Linked DNA regions of Macaca fascicularis. The protein of the gene in region 4 interacts with the protein of the main gene of each other region in a pairwise test. Links are inferred from orthologs where the notes say so. Each region holds a gene or a part of one and is shown on either strand. Other genes may lie near its edges.

Region 1 (6,731 bases), on a different chromosome or scaffold from region 4:
CCCTCTTCTCTCCAGTTCCCTTTGCCCCCTCCATTCCTTCTGCTACCCACCTTCCTCCCTTTCCCTTTTTCACCTTTCTTCTCCATCCCTCCTTTTTCCCTCCTCCCTTACCCACCTTCCTCCCTTTCCCTTTTTCACCTCTCTCTTCTTTCTCCTCCACCCCTCCTTTCTCCCTCCTCCCTTACCCATCCCCACCCTCTTCTACCTTTCCCTTCCTTTCCCTCCATGCCCTGTTCCTTCTCCTTGTCCCATTGCTCTCCAAAATCTTGAATGAGTGTCCTCCAACAGAAAAGCTAAGATGTGGGAAATACATCAGAATGTTAATAATAGTTATCTTTTTATTAAATTGTCCCCTTCCTTGTGATCCTCTACTTTTTTCTATGATAAGCATCCCTCTTTTATAGTCAGGAGAAAAGGCTAGATTTTCATAGTATAACACACTTTAATATTTATTTATTTTAAGTTGCAATAAAAGAACATGAAAAACAGTATCAAATGAAGTGATCATTTTCAGTGAAAGGGAAGGTAGAACATAATACAAAGAAAACATGGTATCTTCAGTTTACAATTACACAATATAAGATGAAGAAACTTTTTAAAAAATACTATGTCATATTAACACCTCAGTGGTAAACAGTAACATCATTATCATTAAATTTATAGGCCACTATATGTCACATACACAAGGTCTCAGTTGAATCAAATGTGGTCTTGACATTCTTAAATGTATGCTAATCTTTTTCAAGCAGTCAAACTTCAAAATACACTGTTTTAGTTACTATAAGTACTGGATTTCTATAGCAAACTAATGAAGGCACAGCTAGTGCAAGCAGATTTAAACGCTTAGTCTTCTGGGCTGGAAAAAAGAAAAAAATAAAGCACTTGCATTGGTACTTCATGAACTTTTTTTTTTCAAGCAAATATTTGTTTCAGTTAACAATTGTGACAGTTTCACAGCTACAGTCTAACAGAAACATGACCAAAGGACATCACAAAAATCAACACTGTAGCACCAAACTAACATGCTTTAGATAATTGACCACAGCTTACATATTTTGAAGAATATTATACTACAACAGTCTAGATAGAATAAACTGGCGCTTAGACACTTTTTAGGACAATTTTTAAAATACAGACTACCAAGAAACCACAAAAACATGACTATAAGGAATAAGAGTGTTCAGGTTACAGGTCAGGGTTTTACTTTTTTCAAGGCTGTATGAATCTGCTTCACTTCTTGAGATTTTAAGATTCTTGAAAGATCTTTCAGATTGACTTATTTTCTGTATTTCCTGTTTCCATAATGTTTGCCAAATTGATAGTAGGTACCATTGACTTCTCCAGTATAGTAATAGATTGATTTCAGGATGACATTATCATGTAAAATCTGCCCAATTTCAAAATCCTCATCCAGGATAGCATCTTCTCGTGGTTCCAGCTTCCCAATCATAGGAATCTCAGGAGGACTAAAGAAATTGAAGAATGATGCATTAGGAACCACTCTTGGCTGGATTTCAATTTCTCCAGTAGCAGTTGTGCGACTCTGAGTAGTTGTCACAGTAACATCTTTTCCTCTTCTCCAGTCTATCTTGCAGCCTTTGCAATCTTCAATTTCCCATCCCCAAGAAAAGAAGGGATCATTGTGATCTGGTTTTGACTTTATTATATATGTCTTCACCAGCACCTCATTTCTGAAGTATGGATTGGGTAGAAAATGAAATTCAAAGGTGTAACTTACAGGCTGGCCAGGTTTTGAGAACTTCAGGCTAACATCCGACAAGAACTTCAGAATGGGCTCATCATACTTCTGAATCATAGGCCCGAGCTTGTCAACATTCTTTAAAACAATCAGCCAATAGTCAGGAATGCCTTTAGGGTCTTCTCTTTTAGGCTTTCCCCTCCTAGCTCTTTTAAGATCTACACTGTCCTGAAGCCTTTCCTCAGGAACTCTTTTATGAGCCTCTCTTACTGCAGCCCTTGCCTTAGCCTCTGTTGCTTTAGGCTGTTCTTTATCATCTGCCTTTACCTGGGGGGCTTCTTTAGGATCTTCTTTTACTTCAGGGGTTGCCTCCATACAGTCTGCTTTAGAATCTGCTTTTTCTTCAGCCTTTATCTCAGGGATTTCTTTAGGAACTTCCTTTTCTTCATCTTTTACCTCAGGAATTTCTTTAGGAACTTCCTTCTCTTCAGCTTTCACCTCTGGGTTTTCTTTAGGGGTTTCTTCTTCCTCACCCTCTAAGGGAGGCATTTCACTAGGGGTGTTATCCTGCACCTCCTCATCACTGCTGAACTCCTCATCCTCTGAATTCCATTCACATTCTTCTTCTGTAGGCTCGTATTCTGCATTGATGATTTGAAACCGCCTATCATATAGAGGCTTGTTGAGTTCAGCATATTTTCTTTCAAGATCATGAATTGCTTTTAAGAACAGGGTGTCTACCTTGTCACATTCTTCTTGAATGTTTCTAAGCGCTTGCACACGATTTCTAACTGCCTGAGGCAGCCTATCCACGAAATTTGTTCCCAAGGGGGCCCGCCGCGCCCTGCTGGAAGGCTCAGGTACCCTCTTCTTTCTATATAAGCGGCTGCGGCTGCTAGTGCTGCCGCTGCTGCTGCTGCTGCCGCTGCCGCTGCTGCTGCTGCTGCTGCCGCTACTGCTGCTGCCGCTGCTGCTGCCACTAGTGCTGCTGCTAGAGCTACTGCTGTCAGATTCTTCCCCAGAATCACTAGTCGAGCTAGCCATCTCCTCTTCGGCAACCCCATGGGCGACGGGTTCCGAGACCATTTTAAAATCTGCTTCTGCCATCTTGCAAGCCTGAAAAACTCTACCGCGGAGACCGCGCGACCAGAGATGGGCAGAAAATGACTCACGGATGCTTGAGTGGCGGCGGCGGAGGCCCGGGCTGCGGAGGTGGCAGCGGCGATGGCAGCAGCGGCGCAGAGCGGAGCTGGAGCTGGGGATGCAGAGGCCGGCGCTGAGGTGGCAGCGGCAGTGGAGGCCTGGGCGACAGCGGTGGCGGCAAGGCCTCTCCCGGCTGCAGCTACACAGTGCCGAGATGTACCGCAGCCGAATGGCGCAGTATGAGACCCCGAGATCTCTTCTCGTTTTAGATCGCGAGCCCCCTCCCCTCGCAGTCAGACCTCCCGTTAATTTCGTTCCCAGTGTGCCTTTAGTTCGCTCCTCATTTGCTGGTCCACCTTAATTGACAAACCGTACGCCCAACGAACGGCCAAACGCCACTACTCCTGGCTCCGCCCACCTTCCCAGACGCTGCTCGCCGGCTGAGGTGCGACCCCCTGGAAGGTGTCCCCGAGCCCCCCAAAAAGTCTATATTTATAGTTTTATAATTAAAAGAGGAAAAAAAAGCGTAGACATGAGGTAAAAATACCAGCCATAGTTCCTAACAAGGGCAGAAGAGGCGTGTCTTCCTTCTCCCATCCGCCCATCCTGAATTCCCGTTTAGTTTGTCACGGGTCTCTTGACAAAAATCTGTAAAAGAAAAAAAAAAAAATTGAATGAAAATGGTCCAAATGGCGTCATTGGGTAGTGTGACTGTGGACGATTTAAAAACAAAACGATTTTCTCTAAATATTCTATGAGCAGTATTTTTACACTGGATAAAAAAGGGGAGAGTCGGTTATTGGCAGAGGGGGGAGGGACTAGACAGCAGGCGTATTGCATTCCACGAAGCTGATTTAATAAGTGCTGTCTGTGATGTTTGGCAAGCCTGGTTTATATCCATCTACAAGGTTTGCGAACCCATGTTGCCGTGAGTCAGTTACACCATTTTTATTATATTTCTCTTTTTAGGCTGGCATATTATATACCCCAACCTTGCTGCTAACTTGCCACGTAGCCCTTCTCAATGCTTGCAACAACCTTGTAGATAAAACAAAGAGTGTATTAAATGTTAGGTAGTATTGTTAAAAAGCAAATGATTTGCGTTATACTTTTGTGCAGCAGGTTTCAATTCCAAGAACAGTGGGATGGGAGGGGGAATTTGTGCTAATGAATGTGCATCTTCTGTCAGTGTATGCGATGTCATCTGCCACCAATTTCCTTCTAATGTTGTAAAATTCTAGCCATACTATAGTATGATTTACAAGTCCAGTAATATGTGAATAAACTTTTGCAAAATGAAGTTTAAAAACGGGTATTTGTTATTTTTATTTACAGGATTTTTTTTTTCTGCTACAGAACAACTACCTTGGTACAATAAAAAAGACGAGTATTTACTTTTCATTGAAAGGTAAGGATCATATTTAGCACATTTTAAAGAATGACAAAAATTACTCATCTCCATCTGAATAAAAGTTTACAGGATGCAGTCATTTAGAGATTTATTTTAGATAATAATCTTGATAATTCTATGGAAACAGGAAAATCCACAGAGGTAATTTGGCATACTAATGTAGACAATAGCCTACTTAACCACATTAACTATCTTAACCTGGTCATAGAATACAAGTTGTAAATTAAAATATGAAATATGATAAATTATTCATTTCAAATGAGGAACTGTATTAAAGTTAGATTAATCTTTATAGAATTTGTGCTTTGTCATGTAGTCACGTTTTTAAAAGTTATGAAATGCTTTTCTGTCTCATAAATGCATTTACTTTTATTGCATATCTCTAATTGTCAAAGTCTGTGAACATTGCAAAGATAAAACCTCAATACAGAAAATTCCAACAGTAGTAAAAACACACAATCTTAACCACCAAATGATAAGAATTACTAGCATTTTGATGCACTTCCTTCTAGAAATTTCCTTGTGCATATACATACCTGCCTATTTATGTATACTGCTTTATCTATGTGATACCATATTATGTTTTGTAGTCTTTTCATTTAATTTATCAGTTACTAATGGCTATATTTTCATGGCAAATGATCAACATCTTATTTTTAAATAAGTGCATATTCCATGGAAATAATTGCCTTAATTTATTTGAACAGATTCCTCTTATAGGGTGGCTATTTCTATACCATCTCTCCCCTTATATACATACTATTTTCCTGCTATAATAAAAGTGTCCCTGGATACCTAAAGCATATATTTCTATGCACTTCTGAAAATTGGTCATAAGATAAATTCCTAGAAATGAATGGCCTGGGAATGATCATTTCATATTATGGAATTATTATTGTATACATATTGCCAAACTCTCTGCAGAATGATTATCACAATTTACAGTTCCAACAGTGCATAAAGGTTCATTTTTTTTGTCATTCAGCTAATATATTTTTGTGCCTGTCGTATGCTGGGCAAATGTGGTAGAGAATTGTAGTATAATGGTGAATGAAACTTACTAAGTGCATATCCTTTCGATGAATAATTTTAATCAAAGCATATGTTATAGAAACAATGATTTACATCAATGGTGTTATACCATAAATATTGTTCTGAGACTCACTATTTCTTTTTAAATTATGGAGATTTTACAAAAAGTATGCTCTTATGTTTTAAACTTTGTAGCATCAGGAATTAGTATTTTAGAGTGAGTCATGAGGTAGGGATCCAGATTTTTAAAATACTTATTTTTATTAGCTAGCTAATTCTTCTAGTACCATTTATTTGGTAATCTTTCTATCTCCTGCTTACTTGAAATGCTACTTTGATCACATTAAATAAATTGCTTGGGTCTGTTTCTAAATTATTTTCTGATCCATTAGTTGCAAACAACTAATGAGTCGGTGTTAAGATAACTTTACATTTTGTGAAAATGATATGTGTTCATTGATAAAGTCAGACAATACATTGAAATACAAAGAAGAAATTAAAAGTAACTCAAAATAAAACTGAGAAGTAATCACTACTTACATTTACATTTGTAATCAACATCTCCAAATTAATTTATCAATATTAGTATTTGTATTTCTTAGATTAGTGGTAAGATTGTGTTTTCATATGTTTATGTTTATTTGAGAACTGTCTATTCATATTTTTTGTTTTCTACTGAATTAAGCAAGAAGTTAATCAATGGTGAAATCCTAAAGGTAAAATGATTTTGGCCTTGACTTACTTAAGACAACTATGATTTCTTCAGGAAATAATGCATGATATTGGGCAAATGTGACTAAATTTCATATTAAAATTGGTTGGGTTTTTTTTGGGGGGATGCTTGGGGGTTTTTTTGGATGCTTTTCAAGGATTACGGATAACTACTTAACCACTCACACTGATCCTGGAAAAGTTTGGAATGGAACATGGAGATGAAAAATAGAAAAAAGCTTACAAAAACATCATATAAAAATAATGTATTAATCAACAATTGTGATTTTCAATTTGGAATTATTTTTTCCTAGATATAGGCAATGAAAATGTTGAAAGTAGATGATTTTTTCTAATCACAATTCTCTACTTTAATTGTGTATCCATAAGTATCTTGTAACACACTTTTATTTTTGTAGCTTTTTTTTGGTTGATTAGTTTATTTAATTTTATGTAGTAGGTATCTAAAATAAAATAAGCTTTTTCTTCATAATCAATTTAATTGCTGCATTATATCCTATTTGTTCTACTGTGAAATGTACATATTAGTTTTATCATATCATATACTTATTTTTCTTAATAAGGTTATATATAAATTATTTGCATAGTGATATGTTCTTTGTTCAATTACTAGATGATTTTTTTGTGGGAGGGCGGCTAAATGTTAATGCTTCTACATGAGATGATACATAACACAGAATCTGATAGTATACTCAGACTGAACATAGTACATTA
Region 2 (6,739 bases), on a different chromosome or scaffold from region 4:
AACATGGCACAAGAGCTGTGAGCTCCTCCACCTTTATCTTCAAAGGTGCAAAAAGAATATTCCCAGTCATTTCCAAGAAAACTCCCTACAGACTTTACACGAAGTTCACACTACATGACTTCCATTTAAAACCCAGCACTTCATTATAATTTTCAGAAAGTTTGTAGTTGTTTTAAAATATCTTACCTTTGTGGATGGTGATATCAAAATAAGAGAAGAAAAGCTGCAAGTTTGGACACATTTTGTGTCTGTTGCAATCAAATTTGAGTAAGCCGAGAGGCCTGCCACAAGAATAAAAAGTCAACTAAAATGAAATTCGTATTCACCACTCAAGAGCGCTAACCTGATACAGGATGGGACACACAGCAAGGCGGGTAAGGTTGAAACATTTAGCAGCCAGATGACGAGGAAGCAGCCCGGACGCAGTGGCCTGTCCAGTTACAAAACTGAAGTGACACACAACTAACGATGACATTTCAGAACAAGGAAGGCCTAATGGGTTTTAGCAGAAATATATCAGATACATGGCAGGCCAACTTTATAGGGTTGAGGCTTGAACTTCATGCAACACATGAGCACGCACCTGAGCTAACGACTGTGCTTAACACTGGAGACCACAGACAGGCAATCTTAGCTTTGAGGGATGCAAGCCCCAGTGCATGGGGACAGGGGGGTGTGGCACTGGCACAGGAAAGAAAACAAGGAGAAATAATATTATTGAACATCGCACTTGGGCCAGGCCCTCAATGGCAGCTGCATGTATTTTTTTTTCTTTAATCTATCCATGCCAGGGCAGGGTAGGTATTATTGGTCCCATTTATAGAGAAGAAAAATGCAGAGGTTGACAGAGGTGAGTAACTTGCCCAACTAGTAGGTGAGAGGTACAAATAAGCAAATGGTTGCAAAGGCAGCGTGATGAGGGCTGTTACTAGGGGAATCCTGGAGGGCCAGGGAGCCTACATACAGGAAGGGACACCCAAGATGAATCCTAAAGGCTGACTAGATATTCCATAGGAAAACCCAACAGAAAGGAGAGAAACGACCATTTCAAGGAAAAGGGAACAGCACATCTGCATATATGACCCCAAACATCATTGAATAAGTGGTTGAAAATGGCTGGACAACTGGCTCCAAGAGTTATATCAGTTACATGTTACTGTGTAACAAACTCTGAAACTTAATGGCTTATAACTACAACCATTTTATTTGTTCACAATTCTGTGGGTCAGCAAATTCGGCTGAGCTCAGCCAGGTGGCTCTTCTGCTGGTCTGACCTGGGATAATTCACATAGCTGTGGTCATTTGGTGGCTCAGCTATGGCTGGATGGCCTCAGCCATATGCCTGGTGGCTGGTGCCAGGCTGCTGGTTAGGCACTTCTCACCGTGAAGTCTTTCATCCTCACAGAGGCCACCTCAGGCTTCTCAGATGGTGGCAGCATTCCAAGAGGGTGAATGTGGAATCTGCAAGGTCTCTTAAGGTAGACCTCATTTGTAAGTTAGGCAGTGTCCTTTCTGTTACATTCTCTGAGTCAAAGCAAGTCACAAGGCAAGCCCAGATCCAAGGGGTGGGGAAACAAACTCTACCTCTTGATGGGAAGAGCCTCAAAGAACTTGTGATCATTTTTGATCCACCTCAAGGGAGAAGTGGCAAGAGGTGAGTCTGCAGAGGTAGGAGAGGCCAGCAGTGCCAATCATGGTGCGCTGTTAATCCCCATGTTTAGGAGTTTCAATTTCATCCTAAAACAATGAGGAGCCACGGAAAACTATTGAGGGGAAGTGTGACGTGATCAGATTTGCATCAGGATTGTCTGGATGGCAAGGAGGAATCCAGACTCAAAGGGAACAAGATTAGAAGCAGCAAAACTCCTTACGGGGCTGTTGTAACTGTCCCAATAAGAGATGATGACAGCCCTGGGGACTGACACAAGAGGCAGGAGGACTGCGAGATGAAGAGCTGACCCTGACAACTGGCAGCTGCCTGGACCAGGGACCTGGGACAGAGTCTAGGATGAATGTATGCTCTGGCTTGGGTCACTGGGCAGAGGAGGTGGTACCTACGAAATTCGGAATATAAAGAGAAGGAGGGCAGGTTTTGAGCTTGGAGAGAAGGGATTACAGGCATGAGCCACTGCACCTGGCCATGAGTTCAGCTTTAAACAGGTGTTTAAGGTACCTAAGGCTTGGCCTCTGTAAGCCGGGTCTTTTCTGCTGAGAAGCAATGATGATGCTCACAGTGTTCACCTCATAGGAGTTCTTAGCAGCAGCAGCAGCAGCAGTGCCTAGAGAGGCTGCAAGGCCAACCTCGGGGGAAGGCAGTGCTATGACCTTGAAAACTCCAGCATATACAGTAGATATCCCTTATCCATGATTTCACTTTCCTTGGTTTTAGTTACCCCCAGTACAGTACAATAAGATATTCTGAGAGAGAGAGAGGAAGATACCCTTTTGTTACAGTGTATGTTATAATTGTTCTATTTTATTATCATTGTTGTTAGTCTCCTACTGTGCCTAATTTATAGATTAACTTTATCATAGGTATGCATATATAGGGAAAAACATAGCATATATAGGGTTTGATACTATCTGAGGCTTCAGGTATCCACTGTGGGGACTTAGAATGTATCCTCCTTGGATAAGGGGGAAAGCACTGTACATTTCTTTGAACCTCAGTTTCTTTCTTTTTTCTTTTTTTTTCTTTCTTTCTTTTTTTTTTTTTTTTTTTTTTTTTGAGACAGAGTCTTGCTCTCTCGCCTACCCTGGAGTGCAGTGGCGTGATCTCGGCTCACTGAAACCTCCACCTCCTGGGTTCAGGCGTGAGCCACTACACCCGGCTGAACCTCAGTTTCAATAACTGTAAACTAAGGTTAATGACAGCTACATGGCCAGGTGGTTCGAGATGTCTATAGAGTAATGGGCACATGGTGCTGCTCCTTCCTCCCTCCTTGCTCTCCCAGCCCCCAGCCCACGCCTTCATCCTTGAATCACACTCTTCTCCCTGTCCAGCTGGTCTTCTTAAACTATAACATCTACAAAGGCAGGACCACACCTTATTCAAGTGTGTTACACAAATACACCCTTGAATAAATTGAGCTGAACCAGAAAGCGCAGAGGAAGGGGAAAATTAGACTTATGTGAGACCTCACAAGTAATCAAGACAATGTCTGGGACATGTCAAGGACTTCGTATTACTTAAAACAAAATGATGCAATGTGCTGCAAATTATTCAAGGTTGGTCGATGGCATCCGGTCTACGAATGTAAGTCTACACTGTCAATCCTGTGGTATCTAAATTCTCAACAAATATGCCACATTGGTTTTAAAGGAAAGAGAAAAGGCCCTTTCCCTTTAACTTCTAGGGACCAACTCAAGGAAGTCAAAATTTCCTCAAGACCAAGAGGAACCAACCAAGTAGAAAGATAATCCCTTCTGCAATAGTCCTATATGCTGAAGGTTAGTTTTGTTTTATGGTTTCAGGAATAAGAGATGGAGATAGATAGATAGATAGATAGATAGATAGATAGATAGATAGATATACTTTTTTTTTTTTTTTTTTTTTTGTGAGACGGAGACACACTTTGTTGCCCAGGCTGTAGTGTAGTGGCATGATCTCAGCTTACTGCAACCTCTGCCTCCTGGGTTCAAGTGATTCTCCTGCCTCAGCCTCCCAAGTAGCTGGCATTACAGGCAGCCACCACCATACCTGGCTGATTTTTGTATTTTTAGTAGAGACGGGGTTTTACCATGTTGGTTAGGCTGGTCTTGAACTGCTGACCTCAGGTGATCCACCCGCCTCAGCCTCCCAAAGTGCCGGAATTACAGATGTGAGCCACCGCGCCTGGCCAGAGATGGTATATTTTTAAACCTCTCTCCTTGAGCTTTCTTGTTCAGTTTTTAGATTAAGCCAACAGTATCGTCTTTTGCCAGAGCAGACAAGTTCTGAACGTACTTCGGCTTCTTCAAAGTCTGGTGAAAAGCAGCAACAAAAGAGGGGAACAGGGTCAACCACAGAGTTTTAAAATGAGGGCACTCCAAGTTCAAATGGTCCTCACTCTAGAAAGTTACGAGAAATGGGAGACATTAGCACGCTCTGATGAGAGTCATGTACTCATGACTCATGTACTCATGACTCATGTACTCATACTGCACTCATGAAAAAGGAACAGTATGCTATCAAAAGAGACATTCAGAGAACAAGAACTTTTCTAGGGGATTACAAAACCAATTGCAAACCTAATAGAAGGGTTGGAAGATAATGGCCCCGATCTCACAGAAAGTAGAGTGAAAACAAATGGAACATGGGAGAAGCAAGAGAAGTAAGAGAGGACCAGTCCAGGAGGCAAACTCATCCAAGTAACAAGAGCTCCAAAGAGCAGGAAGCAAGAACACGGAGCAGGGGAAACCACCAACCAATGCATTCAAGATAATTTCTCAGAAACGATGGGCATGAATTTCCAGGTTGCAAGGGCCCACCAGGGGCTCAACAGAATGAATGAATACACACACACAGATGGTCACTCACTGGGAAATTCCAGACGATGCTGGAGACAAAGAGAAGATCCTACAAGCTTTCTGAGAGGGAAAAACATGTTGCACACAAAGGATCCAATAGAAAACTTTTTTTTTTTTTTTTTTTTTGAGATGGAGTCTTGCTGTCACTTAGGCTGGAGTACGGTGACATAATCTCAGCTCATTGCAACCTCCGCCTCTCAGGTTCAAGCAATTCTCATGCCTCAGCCTCCCCAGTAGCTGGGACTACAGGCATGCACCACCACACCTGGCTAATTTTTGTATTTTTTGTAGAGAAGGGGTTTCACCATATTGGCCAGGCTGGTCTCAAACTCCTGACCTCAGGTAACCCACCTGCCTCGGCCTCCCAAATTGCTGAGATTACAGGTGAGAGCCACCGTGCCTAGCCGAATAGAATACTTTTGGATTTCCCAACAGCAACATGGGAAGTGAAAGACAACAGTTGGAAACCTTCTAAATCTGAGAGGAAACTGGCTTCTGACCCCATAGACCGATATTCAGAGAGGCCCTCCATCAGGTGCAAGGGTAGCAAAGCTCCTGCTTTCCCCATTAGTGTAACTAAAAGGTAACTGTGTCTCTCTCTGAGATTCTGGACTCTGTCTCCCCATGGTACTCGGTACTTCTCTCCTATTGTGGTAATTATTGGTGAACATGGTTTCTTATGATGTTTTAGTAGGTAACTCATGGCACCTTTTCTAGACATCCAACTTGCAGTGGTGTGTTACAGGTTGCTTGTATTTAATTTGCACTGCAATATTATTGGTTTATAACAAGGAAGTCATCATCAAATCATCATCAGCCATTTTTCAGATCCAACCCTGCAATAAATTAGAGATATTGATAATGATAGTGGTGCCAGCTAACACTTTTTGAGCCCTTATCATATGCCAGGAACTGTCATAAATAAGCACCTAATGCGCATTAACTCACTTCCTGGTAACAGCAACCCCATGAGGCAGGCATTACCATTATGTTTACTTTACAGATGAGAAAACTGAAGCACAGACAGGTTACCACAACATGCCCTGGGGCACAGAACCACTGGAACCAGGTTTTGACCTCAGGCAGCAAGCCTCTAGTTTCTGCTTCTAACTACCACGTTATAATCCTCTGTGTGGTTTACTGTGTGTCATCTCCCAGTGTGAACATTTCTCACATTTCTCAACTTTACATCCAACCATCAGTGATCTAGACATTTGATAATTTAGCTTTTTTTTTTTTTTTTTTTTTTTTGAGACAGGGTTTCACTCTTTCACTCAGGCTGGAGGGCCGTGGTGCAATCACAGCTCAATGCAATATTGACCTCCCAGGCTCAGGTGATCCTCCCACCTCAGCCTCCTGGGTAACTGGGACTACAGGCACACACTACCACGCCCAGCTAATTTTTCTATTTTTTGTATAGACAGGGTTTCACTGTGTTGCCCAGGCTGGTCTCAAACTCATGAACTCAAGTGATCTGCCCTCCTTGGCCCCCCAAAGTGCTGGGACCACAGGCATGAACCATTGCGCCTGACAGGATAATCCAGATTCTGAATTACCCACAAGTTGTTGTTTTTCCTTCCCAGTTTATCTGTGTTGAGTAGATGCTCCTCTCAGTGAATATAACTCTCTGTTGGAGTCTTTAGTAAAGTTTAGAGATGAGGGAAAATGTAGTATTATTCTAATGTGTTTTTAAAGCAAAGACTAGAAGTTTAAACTAATGACAAATTGAAATATGAGGATTTCCTGAACTCTTGCTGCTCATGCTGCTAAACGAGTGTGTGTTCAGTGGAGAATTACCTGTCTACTCATTTAGCAGATGGAGTCATTTCTGTAAGCATCGCCGCATTGGGGCACCAGAGTCTGGATCCTCAGATGAGGATCTCAGAGCCAAGGCCCCAGTTCTAGTGCTTATTCCAAGCCAACTTTTTTTCATTTAAAAAACAGCTTTATGGGCCCAGTGTGGTGGCTCATGCCTGTAATCCCAACACTTTGGGAGGCCAAGGTGGGTGGATCACCTGAGGTCAGGAGTTCGAGACCAGCCTGGCCATCATGGCGAAATCCCATCTTTACTAAAAATACAAAAATTAGCTGGGCATGGTGGCGTATGCTTGTAGTCTCAGCTACTTGGTAGGCTGAGGCACGAGAATCACTTGAACCCAGGAGGCAGAGGTTGCAGTGAGCTGAGATTGTGCCACTGCACTCCAGCCTGGACGACAGAGCGAGACTCTGT
Region 3 (6,517 bases), on a different chromosome or scaffold from region 4:
GAAAATATGTGTTAGGAATTCACCAGGCTCCTCTGTGGATTTCCAAATGATGATATTTTAACATGGTTCAAATAGAATACTGTGTAACAATGAGGGCCGGGTGCAGTGGCTCATGCCTGTAATCCTAGCACTTTGGGAGGCCGAGGCCGGCAGATCACCTGAGGTCAGGAGTTCGAGACCAGCCTGGCCAAGACGGTGAAACCCTGTCTCTACTAAAAAATACAAAAAAATAAATGAGCCAGGTGTGGTAGTGGGTGCCTGTAGTCCCAGTCACTCGGGAGGCTGGCGCAAAGAATCGCTTAAACCCAGGAGGCAGAGGCTGCAGTGAGCCAAGATTGTGCCACTGCACTCCAGTCTAGGTGACAGAGCGAGACTCTATCTCAAAAAAAAAAAAAAAAGTGAAATATCCTAAGGTACTTTACAAAGACTTTCTGGGGTAGAAGATATATATTACAAATTAATTCTTAGCCGGGCATGGTGGCCCATACCTGAAATCCTAGTACTTTGGGAAGCCAAGGCGAGTGGATCACGAGGTCAGGAGTTCAAGACCAACCTGGCCAAGATGGTGAAACCCTGTCTCTACTAAAAATACAAAAATTGGCCGGGTGTGGTGGCAGGCGCCTGTAATCCCAGGTACTTGGAAGGCTGAGGCAGAGAACTGCTTGAACCTGGGAGGCGAAGGTTGCAGTGAGCTAAGATCGTACCACTGTACTCCAGCCTGCGCGACAGAGTGACTCTGTCTCAAAAAGAAAAAAGAAATGTCTTCTGTGTTCAATATTACATCAAAATGATCTCAACTCAGAAACAGTTTAAGTCACAGAAAAGTTAATTTGGGACCCAGACTGCTCCAAAGAGGATCGGAGAGGCAGATGACACACAGATAACTGTGGCATCTTGGGGTGTACTATAGCGCTAGATTCAGCTCTGATCCTAACTAGCTATAGGGCCTTGAGCAAGTCATTTAACTTCTGTGGGCTTCAATTTTCTCATCTATAAAATAAAAATATTTGACTCAGCTGGGCGCGGTGGCTCAAGCCTGTAATCCCAGCACTTTGGGAGGCCGAGACGGGCGGATCACGAGGTCAGGAGTTCGAGACCATCCTGGCTAACACGGTGAAACCCCGTCTCTACTAAAAAATATGAAAAAAAACTAGCCGGGCGAGGTGGCGGGCGCCTGTAGTCCCGGCTACTCGGGAGGCTGAGGCAGGAGAATGGCGTAAAAACCCGGGAGGCGGAGCTTGCAGTGAGCTGAGATCCGGCCACTGCACTCCAGCCTGGGCAACACAGCGAGACTCCGTCTCAAAAAAAAAAAAAAAAAAAATACAAAAAATTAACCAGGCGTGGTGGTGGGAGCCTGTAGTCCCAGCTACTCAGGAGGCTGAGGCAGGAAAATGGCGTGAACCTGGGAGACGGAGCTTGCAGTGAGCCGAGATGGTGCCACTGCACTCCATCCTGGGCGACAGCCAGACTCCGTCTCAAAAAAATAAAAATAAATTAATTAGCCAGGTGTGGTGGCATGTGCCTGTATTCCCAGCTCCTTGGAGCTGAGGTGGAAGGATTGCTTGAGCCTGGGAGGTGAAGGCGGTAGTGAGCCATAACCATGCCACTGCTATCCAGCCTGGGCAAGAGAGTGAGATACTGTCTCAAAAGAAAAAAAAAAAGCCAGGTGGTGGTGGTATGCACCTGTAGTTCTAGCTACTCAGAAGGCTGAGGTGGGAAGATAGCTTGAGCCTGGGAGGTCAAGGCTGTACTGAATCATGGTCACATCATTGCACTCCAGCCTAGATGACAGAGGGAGACGCTGTCTCAAAGGGAAAAAAAAAAAAAGGTGTGAAGAGCTCAAATACCATCTCTAGTGCTTACTTGCTGTGTGACCTGCAGCAAGTCAATTTTGCAGTGTTTCAGTTTCCACATCTGTACAATGAGGATAGTACCACCTATTTCACAGGGTTTGGGGGCTGGCCACAGTGGCTCATGCCTGTAATCGCAGCACTTTGGGAGGCCGAGGCAGGAGGATTGCTTGAGCCTGGAGTTCAAGACCAGACTGGGCAACATAGGGAAACCCTGTCTCTACAAAAACTGGAAAAAATTAGCTGGGCGTGGTGGTTAGGGAGGCTGAAGTGGGAGGATCTCTTGAGCCAGGGAGGTCAAGGCTGCAGTGAGCTATGACTGCACCACTGCACTCCAGCCTGGGTGATAGAGAGCAACTCTGTCTCAAAAAAAAAAAAAAAAAAAAGGATTTGGGGGAGAAGTAAGAGACAATACAGGCAAAGCACTCAGAATAGTGACTTGCATATAGTAAGTGCTCAATAAACGTTGCCAACTTTTACTGGTTGAAAGCATAGACTATGATTTGCCTAGGTTTGAATCCTGGCTCTAACATTTATTAACTGTGTGATTTTGTGCGTATTTTATCTTGCTACCCTCAGTTCTTCATCATTACAAGAGAGATAATAAGCTTTCTTTAGATAATTCTTATGAAGATTAAGATATGTAAAGCCTAGTTCTATTTCCAGCAGTCAGTAACAGCTCTAAAAGTGTGACATGCTATTATTCTCCACATTATTATTTTCCTTTACCCTTGCAGAATGTTTGAGCTATTCCACTTTATATTTGCAACTATACATGCAAATATGCTAGAAAGGAAACAGTTCAAATATAGGTACCCTTGTCAGGCAGGGTGACAGAGACCACCTATAGTCCCAGCTACTTAGGAGGTTGAGGTGTGAGGATTGCTTGCGCCCAAGAGTTCGAGGCTGCAGTGCGTTGTCATCACGCCTGTGAGTAACCACTGCACTCCAGCCAGGGCAACAGAGGAACACCCCGTCTCTTAAAACAAATATAAAGTGCCCAGAAACCAAATGATTAAAGGATGAGGCGGGGTGCAGTGGCTCACGCCTGTAATCCCAGCACTTTGGGAGGTCGAGGCGAAGCAGTCAGATCACCTGAGGTCAGGAGTTCGAAACCAGTCTGACCAACATGGTGAAACCTCGTCTCTACTAAAAATATAAAAATTAGCCGGGTGTGGTTGCGCATGCCTGTAATCCCAGCTACATGGGAGGCGGAGACAGGAGAATTGCTTGAACCCGGAGACGGAGGTTGCAGTGAGCCGCGATCGGGCCACTGCACTCTAGCCTGGGCAACAGAGCAAGACTCCGTCTGAAAGAAAAAACAAAAGGGATGAGTGGGTTCCAGGTTGCAGTACAATGTGAAAAGCATAACAGATAGTTTCGGAGGCGGACAGACTTAGAGCCAACCTCCTTCACTTTCCAGCCGGGGTAACTTCCTGGGGCGTCGCACCACCTCTAAGCCTCAGTGGCTTGAACGACAAAGACGAAAGAATAATAATTCCTGTGAGGGTACTGGAAGATAATGCACATGAACGTTACAGACAAGGAGTGATGTTCACCCAACGTTAATCGCCCTTCACTTCCCACCTCATGTAACAGGCCTCACAAGCCCTAAAGAACACGGCCACGAGACAATGAGGATAAAGAATCGATTCAGGAGCTCTCACATCCTAAACCTAGTTCCCCTTCCCCCAGGCCAGGGACGGCTGTTCCTCCCTGAACTCGCCGAACATTGGCCCCAGCAGGAGAGGAGCAAAAAGTAACGCCAGTCGCCTCTGGCCCTGGCTCAGTTTAACTATCTCAGTTTATCCATCCTTCCACCTTCCATCCTCCAGACGTCGCTAAAAGCCCTAAAGAAGGGTCCACGGAGCGAGGATCTCGGGGTTCCCCTTCCAAGTCACGCTAAGTCCTCTCCTTCTCACCTCAATACTCGGGGGCTTCTCCATGAGACCTCAGTTTCGCCAAGCGTCACCAGGTGCAGGAAGCCATATTGGCCTCGTCGCTCTCCACGAGAGCACTCATTGGTCGCCTCCCTGAGCCGCGGGCCAATCACGCTGCAGGAAGGAGGAAAAGCCGGTTCCGTGCTTGCTCGCGCCATTCTCTCCCTTTGGGCGGGGAAATCGCGGGCGCTTGTGGTAATTGTAGTTCGCCTTGGGTGTGCAGGGTGGGACGTTACCATAGTGACGTGGAAACCAGGAACGCTGGAAACCTGGTGCGCCTCACGCCGACTGTTCCAGTTACGCCAACCTCTTGACTTCATTGGGATGTTATTCACTAAACGGTTACTGAGCACCTATGATAGTCACTGTTCCAGACTCCAGGAATAACCTCGTACTCTCCCGAGTTAGGTATTTAAGGTGTCCTTTTGCTGGGATGCATAGCAGAGGGACTCATTTCCAACTCAGGCAGAAACTGAAATACTCCAGATTGAAAAGAAGAAAAAAAAAGAAAGAAACTGGAATACTGTGTGTGTATGTGTGTGTGTGTGTTTTCTTGAGACGAAGTCTTGCCCTGTCGCCCAGGCTGGAGTGCAGTGGCGCGATCTTGGTTCACTGCAACCTCCACCTTCCGGGTTCAAGCGATTCTCGCGCCTCAGCCTCCCAAGTAGCTGGGATTACAGGCGCCCGCCACCAAGCCCGGCTAAGTTTTGTATTTCTTAGTAGAGATGGGGTTTCACCATCTTGGCCAGGCTGGTCTTGAACTCCTGACCTCATGATCCACCCGCCTCAGCCTCCCAAAGTGCTGGGATTACAGGCGTGAGCCACCGCGTCAGCTGAAACTGGAATATTCTTTTTCTCAATGCTGTAAGTGTCCAGCCTCCTCAAAATCTTGCAACCTTCCTCATGCACCACTCCCTCCTGGGTAAAAACCTTGAATCTGAGGCTCTCTGCCTCATCCCGTTAGGGTTTCCCACAACCTCTTTAGACACCCTGAGTTCTAGGTGCTGTTGTGGAGCTTTGCAAACATCTTTTCAAACCCTTACACATCCTATCACCATTTGAAAGAAGAGGAAGTGGTGGCTCTTCAGGTTTAGGCACTTTCCAAGATCACACAGGATAGGGATTCCAAATTTAGTACAAATTCCTTCCCTATGCTATGCTGTGTCCCAATGAATTAATTGAGACTCTAAATGCAATATGTGGAGGCTGAATACATACAAAACATATGCCTAAATTTGAGGTCCACCATGGAGATGTGAAACTCTTCCTAGATGTCTTTCTTTCCTTCAACCCCTTCCACCCTAAACCCCTGTATCCATGCTGCCAACATGTTGGTTTTTCTACCTCCAAAATATATCCTGTATTTCCTCCACTACCACTCTAATACAAGCCACCGGCCCATTTCAGCAGCCCTTCAAGTGGTCACCCTTTCTTTCCTTCCTCCCTCCCTCCCTCCCTCCCTCCCTCCCTCCCTCTCTCTCTCTCTTTCTTTCTTTCTTTCTTTTTTGAGACGGAGTCTCGCTCTGTTGCCCAGGCTGGAGTGCAGTGGCACGATCTCGGCTCACTGCAAGCTCCACCTCCCGGGTTCACACCATTCTCCTGCCTCAGCCTACCAAGTAGCTGAGATTACAGGTGCCCACCACCATGCCAGCTAATTTTTTGTATTTTTAGTAGAGAGGGAGTTTCACCGTGTTAGCCAGGATGGTCTCAATCTCCTGACCTAGTGATCCACCTGTCTTGGCTTCTCAAAGTGCTGGGATTGCAGGCATGAGCCACCGCGCCCTGCCCTCTTTCTTTTATTGATTGATTGGTTGATTGAGATGGAGTCTCCCTCTGTCATCCAGGCTGGAGTGCAGTGGGATCTCTGCTCATTGCAACCTCCGCCTCCCATGGTCACCCTTTTTAAATCTTCACCTTTAATCCACACAGGTGATCTTTAAAACTCATAGACCTGGCCAGGCACAGTGGCTCACCCCTGTAATCCCAGCACTTTGGGAGGTCAAGGTGGGAAGATCACAAGGTCAGGAGATCTTAACCAGCCTGGCCAAGATGGTGAACCCCATCTCTATTAAAAATTCAAAAATTAGGCCGGGCTCGGTGGCTCAAGCCTATAATCCCAGCACTTTGGGAGGCCGAGATGGGCGGATCACGAGGTCAGGAGATCGAGACCATCCTGGCTAACATAGTGAAACCCCGTCTCTACTAAAAAATACAAAAAAAAACTAGCCGGGCGAGGTGGCGGGCGCCTGTAGTCCCAGCTATTCGGGAGGCTGAGGCAGGAGAATGGCGTAAACCCGGGAGGCGGAGCTTGCAGTGAGCTGAGATCCGGCCACTGCACTCCAGCCTGGGAGACAGAGCGAAACTCCGCCTCAAAAAAAAAAAAAAAAAATTCAAAAATTAGCTGGGCGTGGTGGCATGTGCCTGTAATCCCAGCTACTTGGGAGGCTGAGGCAGGAGAATCGTTTGAACCAGGGAGTCGGAGGTTGCAGTGAGTTGAGATCGCGCCACTACACTCCAGCCTGGGCAACAGAGCAAGACTCCATCTCAAATAAATAAATAAATAAATAAATAAATAAATAAATGTTCTGGAATGAGATAGTGGTGAAAAAAAAGAAAAAGAAAGATTGGTTCAGCAAGTGCAAAGGCCACATTGGTGGAACAGCAAGTGCAAAGGTCCTGGGGCCAACCCAAGCTTGGTACACAATAAACAGAAAAATAGGGAGAGTA
Region 4 (5,394 bases):
TCTGTGCCACAGCTGAGCCTCTAATCCTACTCCATCTCTGGATGGAGGTGGGTGACACTCACCATCCTGGGGTTTGCCTTCCTCTGGTCTGGCCGACTCTGGCTCCTCCTCCATCATGGCTGCTAGAGGCTGGAGGGGGCACCAGAGTTAGGGAGACGCTGTCTTGGGAACCCATGCCCTGGCTCTCTATAATCAGGTCAGAGAACTACAGAGTAATGGGATCTCAGGGTTGGAAGAGGCCTTGGAGGAAATATCTAGCCCAGCCCTCTGCTTAATGCACGAACTTTCTCTAAAACATCCTATCAGGTGGGTCACCCACATTCTGCTTGAATGTAGCTAAATGACAGGGAATTCACTACCAGATTCCAGGTCCTTGACTATGCTGTCAGCCTTTAAAAATACTCCAGTGTGTAAGTAAAAAATGAGCAGCATGGCCAGGCGCGGTGGCTTACACCTGTAATCCCAGCACTTTGGGAGGCTGAGGTGGGCGGATCACCTGAGGTCGGGAGTTCGAGACCAGCCTGACCAACATGGAGAAACCTCCTCTCTACTAAAAATACAAGATTAGCCAGGCGTGGTGGCGCATGCCTGTAATCCCAGCTACTTGGGAGGTTGAGGCAGGATAATTACTTGACTCTGGGAGGCGGAGTTTGTGGTGAGCCAAGATCATGCCATTGCACTCCAGCCTGGGCAACAACAGCGAAACTCCGTCAAAAAAAAAAAAAAAAAAAAAAAGAGCAGCACAATTTTTATAATTCCCTTAAAAGAATATAACCCAAGAGTATGTTAGCCCTTCTGGAAGCAGCCAAATCACACTGCTAGTGCCTTGTAAGTCAGAATTCACTCCATAGAAATCCCTTATCTGTGCCCAACCTCCATATCAACAAGTCTGAGGCCAGATTTCTAGTTCTGTTTTTTGCAGGTGATTTTTTGATCAAGAACAAATATGTACATTTATCTTTTCTTTTCTTTTTTTTTTTTTTTTTTTGAGACAAGATCTTGCTTTCTCCCTCAGGCTGAAGTGTGAAGTGCAGTGGCTCACTGCAACCTCTGCCTCCCGGGTTCAAGCGATTCTCCTGCCTCAGCCTCCCAAGTAGCTGGGATTATAAGTGAGTGCCACCACGCCCTGGAGATATATATATATATATATATAGTGTGTGTGTGTGTGTGTGTTTTCAGTAGAGACAGGGTTTCACCATGTTGGCCAGGCAGGTTTCGAACTCCTGACCTCAAGTAATCTGCCCACCTTGGCGTCCCAAAGTGTTGGGATTACAGGCGTGAGCCACCGCACCTGGCATGAACATACAATTTGTATCTTCATTATATCTAAATCATGTTATAACGCACCAGAAATCTCCCTCTAGCTGTATAATACTGAAAGGACCTGGACTCTGAGTACTGCCACTCAACCAATTTTAGGAGTCCATCTAACTGTAACCATCATCCATACTGGTCCAATCCTGGTTGTCCAGAAAGATATAAGAATATTCTAACAAATTCCATGCTGAACTGAATGCAAATCTATGGCATTACTAACCTAGAAACCCTGTTACAAAAGGAAATGAGGTTTATCTTGGCCAGTAGCTTTGTGCCTCAGTTTCATCATCTGTAAAATGAATGGGTCAGACCAGATGATCTTCATGGATCCTTGCATGGCTCTAGAATTCTCCAGTTACTTGGCATGACAAGTTCTCTTTCCTACATCCAAAAGCACAGCTCTTGCCTCTGTCACCCAGCAATGCCAAAGACTTTGGGCCTAGCCTTCATGTGGTTGTAGTGGCTAATCTGACTATTTCAGAAGGAAGCTGAGAAAACGTAATCTATGGCTAGAGTTCTTAACCAGAGGCCCATGGTGAGTGAGCTGCAGTAGGTCCCAAAACCCCCTAAAATTGCATGCAAAAATATTTCTGTTGGGTTATGTGCAATTTTTTTTTTCTTTTTCTTTTCTTTTTTTTTTTTTTAAGACAGAATCTCACTCTGTCGGCTAGGCTGGCGTGCAGTGGCACGATCTCGGCTCACTGCAACCTCCGCCTCCTGGGCTCAAGCAATTCTCCTGCCTCAGCCTCCCAAGTAGCTGGGATTACAGGCGTGTGCTACCACACCTGGCTAATTTTTGTATTTTTAGTGGAGACGGGGTTTCACCATGTTGGCCAGGCTGGTCTCAAACTCCTGACCTCAGGTAATCCACCCGCCTTGGCCTCCCAAAGTGCTGGGATTACAGGCATGAGCCACCTCACCCGGCCTTTTTTTTTTTTTTTTTTTGAGATGGAGTCTTGCTCTGTCACCCAGGCTAGAGTGCAGTGGTGTGATTTCAGCTCACTGCAACCTCCGCCTCCTGGGTTCAAGTGATTCTCTTGCCTCAGCCTCCCGAGTAGCTGGGATTACACACAACCATGCCTGGCTAATTTTTGTATTTTTAGTAAAGACGAGGTTTCACCATGTTGGCCAGGATGGTCTTGATCTCCTGGCTTCATGATCCACCCGCCCTGGCCTTCCAAAGTGCTGGGATTACAGGCATGAGCCACCATGCCTGGTCGGGTTATGTGCAATTTTAGGGGAAGATAATCCATTACTTCTGTCAGCTTCCCAAATGGGAAAATGACCTGCTCCATGGGATCTCTGGGAGGGACCTCGTGGGGAGGTACAGTGCTCACATTTTTTTTATCTGCCTGTCCCTTCTTCCGTTCCTTGTTTGCCATGATCACCCCAGTGCGCAGGGTTTCAAACACAGGGTCATTGCGATTGGCAGCAGCTAATCAAATTGGAGGAGAAAGAAGACATTATTGGGGAGGCAGAGAAAGGCTTGGAGGAAAGGAAGCGAAAGGCAGGATCGAGTAGATGGATACCCATGTGTGTGCTGGGTGGCAGTGGGGGCGCCGTGGGGGAAGATTAGGGAAGGGTCAGCTGAGCAATACCTAGGACACCGATCTAGAAAGGACTCTAAAAACATCACTGGTGATGTAATGTGAGGGAGAAAAGTATTTATCAGAACTCCTTCCAGGCAGAGCATTATATGACGTTTGAAAGACAACTTTGGTTGCTTGGGAGTTGAGACATGCTCAGAATCACTATTCTCCTTCTAAGGAGAATGGGCCCTTAACTTCTGGTTTTTGTTCTGCTGAATGGCATGTGTAAGCTGAGGTGCTGCCACCAATAGGTTCTTCTTTTTCACCCATGCTCTTCACAGAGTTCAGCCTCTGCTCCAAATAAATGTTGAGCAAATTTGTCAATGAATATACTTTTAAGGGTTGCCAAATTATGAACATGCCCAGGGTGCCTGCAGCCTTTGGGTCTTGCCCCAAGTCTGGTATGACTCTGTAGTAAGGATGAGGACAATCTAGAATCCTTGTTCTTGCTTAGAAATGATTTTGCACATGAAGAGCACAGATTCTGAAGCTAGCAACTGAAGATTCCAGTCTTGGCGCTACCTCTTGCTAACTGTATGTAGTTGCAACTAAATCTTATCTCCCTCTGCTGTAAAATGGGGATATTGCCTCTGCATCCAAATGGATATAAAAATGTTAGGTTGAGGGAGAATTATGGGAAATAGAAAGTTTCTGTTTCAGAATTTGGCTTCCAAAGCTAGAGATGGCATGAAACCATCTCTAGGCTTGCCCATTCCCTCATGTTCCATAAAGGGCACTTACAGAGATCTTTGATACAAGCGTACTGCTGGTTGCTGTAGAGTGGGGAACTATAGGCCCGACGGAAACCAGGCGGCTGTAGGATGGGATGGGAGGAAGCATTAGAGGTAGCAAAGTAAGGTCCAGAAGCCCATCTCTCCCATGAGTGCTCACCCTTTCTCAGAAAAAGAGATGGGCTGAGAAAGAAAAAGCAGAGAAATGAATGGGATGGAGGAGGGACCAGCAAGGGGTAGCTGGTGACATGTCTCCTCCTTTCTTTTTTTTTTGAGATGGAGTCTCGCTCTGTCGCCCAGGCTGGAGTGCAGTGGTGCAATCTCAGCTCACTGCAAGCTCCGCCTCCCGGGTTCACACCATTCTCCTGCCTCAGCCTCCCGAGTAGCTGGGACTACAGGTGCCCGCCACCACGTCTGGCTAATTTTTTGTATTTTTTAGTAGAGACAGGGTTTCACTGTGTTAACCAGGATGGTCTCCATCTCCTGACCTCGTGATCCGCCTGCCTCGGCCTCCCAAAGTGCTGGGATTACAGGTGTGAGCCACTGTGCCCGGCCATGTCACCTCTTTTCTACACCTTGTTCCCCAGAGCCTACTCACGATCTTGCCGAAGCATCTCTGCATTTCCACATAGGACTGACAGTGTTCATGGATGTTGGTTTTGCAGTTCTTACAGCGAAGCCCAAACTTGTTGTTGACTTGGGAGAGGGGGAGAAAATTCAGATAAGATTCCAGATTGCCCTTTCCCTTTGTACCACTGCTGCTACTCTTAGGTTCCCTTTTCTGTCTGGGACCTTACTTGCTCAATGTCTAACAGCATTGCCTTACACCAACTCTAGCCACAGCCCATCTGCTACAAATACTCCTCTCGTATGCCCTCTCCCCAACCTCTGCCTTCAACATCATACTCTCTTCACTCCCCTTTATGACTCACGAACAATCATCCGGGCACAGACATCACAGAACTTTGGCTTCTTGAAGAAATGATCTTTGAATTTGTGGGGCTTATCGTTGACCAGCTTAGGAGGTTCTGGGAGTGGCTCCTCCTCCTCCTCTTCTTCTTCTTCCTCTTCCTCATAAATGTAGTAGATGGGCCCACCCCCAGCTCCCACTGCCTCCCCATTGGCCTGGGGCTCTGGGGGAAGTTCCATTTCCTTTGTCCCTGTAGAACCTTTCCTGAGTAACTGCTTCAGCCGCTGTAGCTGAGGGAGGGAGTGAAGAAAACCCAACGTTAAAAGGACTTGTCACCCTCTCTAGAGTAGGGGGGCGTTAGAGCAAACTAGACAGTTTTCTAGTTTTGGGCAAGGAATGTACCCCAGGATTAGGCAGGTATTGGTATTGGGGACTGCAGGTGCTGGCCAGCAAAACATGAGTCACACACAAATGAGATCAATTTAAGCACTCTTCTTCAGCTGTAAAGGTTTCCTGGCCCCCCACACCCAGTGGTCACAGGCCCAGACTCACCCCGCTTTGCCGAGTCTCTGCTGGGAAGGAGGGCTTAGGGGACTCCAGCACCTCCTTTTCTGTCATCCTGCAAGAGGTTGGACCCCACTATGAAATCTAATCCCTTTCACTCTTCTCCCCCTTATTTCTGTCCCTTGCAGTAGGGCGGTACTCAAAGGGAAGGTTTTTGGAGAAACGTGATTAGAGATTTTGTTGTTGTTGAGATGGGGTTTCACTCTGTCACCCAGGTTGGAGTGCAGTGGCATGATCATGGCTCACTGCAGCCTTGACCTCCCAGCCTGAAGCAATCCCCCTA

The links. The genes of interacting proteins can lie anywhere in the genome.
Region 1: the proteins of STAC3 (region 4) and FAM133A interact in binary tests that used the Homo sapiens proteins (3 or more experiments, as listed by UniProt). The two-hybrid records come from large-scale screens. The link is inferred for Macaca fascicularis from reciprocal best matches to the Homo sapiens genes STAC3 and FAM133A.
Region 2: the proteins of STAC3 (region 4) and PPARA interact in a two-hybrid assay, tested with the Homo sapiens proteins (2 studies listed by BioGRID). The two-hybrid records come from large-scale screens. The link is inferred for Macaca fascicularis from reciprocal best matches to the Homo sapiens genes STAC3 and PPARA.
Region 3: the proteins of STAC3 (region 4) and L3MBTL2 interact in binary tests that used the Homo sapiens proteins (3 or more experiments, as listed by UniProt). The two-hybrid records come from large-scale screens. The link is inferred for Macaca fascicularis from reciprocal best matches to the Homo sapiens genes STAC3 and L3MBTL2.

What each region holds. Positions count from the first base shown.
Region 1 is NC_088395.1:100,195,318-100,202,048, forward strand, and holds the start of FAM133A (protein FAM133A), read left to right. Parts: upstream 1-2,806; 5' UTR 2,807-3,287; intron 3,288-3,514; exon of another isoform or gene 3,515-3,770; intron 3,771-4,177; 5' UTR 4,178-4,250; intron 4,251-6,731. Other genes in the region: NAP1L3 (nucleosome assembly protein 1-like 3), read right to left, coding at 1,277-2,806.
Region 2 is NC_088384.1:5,401,936-5,408,674, forward strand, and holds the start of PPARA (peroxisome proliferator-activated receptor alpha), read right to left. Parts: upstream 3,964-6,739; 5' UTR 3,744-3,963; coding exon 3,741-3,743; intron 1-3,740. UniProt on the Homo sapiens protein: Ligand-activated transcription factor. Key regulator of lipid metabolism. Activated by the endogenous ligand 1-palmitoyl-2-oleoyl-sn-glycerol-3-phosphocholine (16:0/18:1-GPC). Activated by oleylethanolamide, a naturally occurring lipid that regulates satiety.
Region 3 is NC_088384.1:10,405,850-10,412,366, forward strand, and holds the start of L3MBTL2 (lethal(3)malignant brain tumor-like protein 2), read right to left. Parts: upstream 3,964-6,517; 5' UTR 3,949-3,963; coding exon 3,773-3,948; intron 1-3,772. UniProt on the Homo sapiens protein: Putative Polycomb group (PcG) protein. PcG proteins maintain the transcriptionally repressive state of genes, probably via a modification of chromatin, rendering it heritably changed in its expressibility.
Region 4 is NC_088385.1:64,046,951-64,052,344, forward strand, and holds part of STAC3 (SH3 and cysteine-rich domain-containing protein 3), read right to left. Parts: intron 5,167-5,394; 5' UTR 5,166-5,166; coding exon 5,100-5,165; intron 4,838-5,099; coding exon 4,570-4,837; intron 4,334-4,569; coding exon 4,236-4,333; intron 3,721-4,235; coding exon 3,648-3,720; intron 2,753-3,647; coding exon 2,655-2,752; intron 130-2,654; coding exon 63-129; intron 1-62. UniProt on the Homo sapiens protein: Required for normal excitation-contraction coupling in skeletal muscle and for normal muscle contraction in response to membrane depolarization. Required for normal Ca(2+) release from the sarcplasmic reticulum, which ultimately leads to muscle contraction.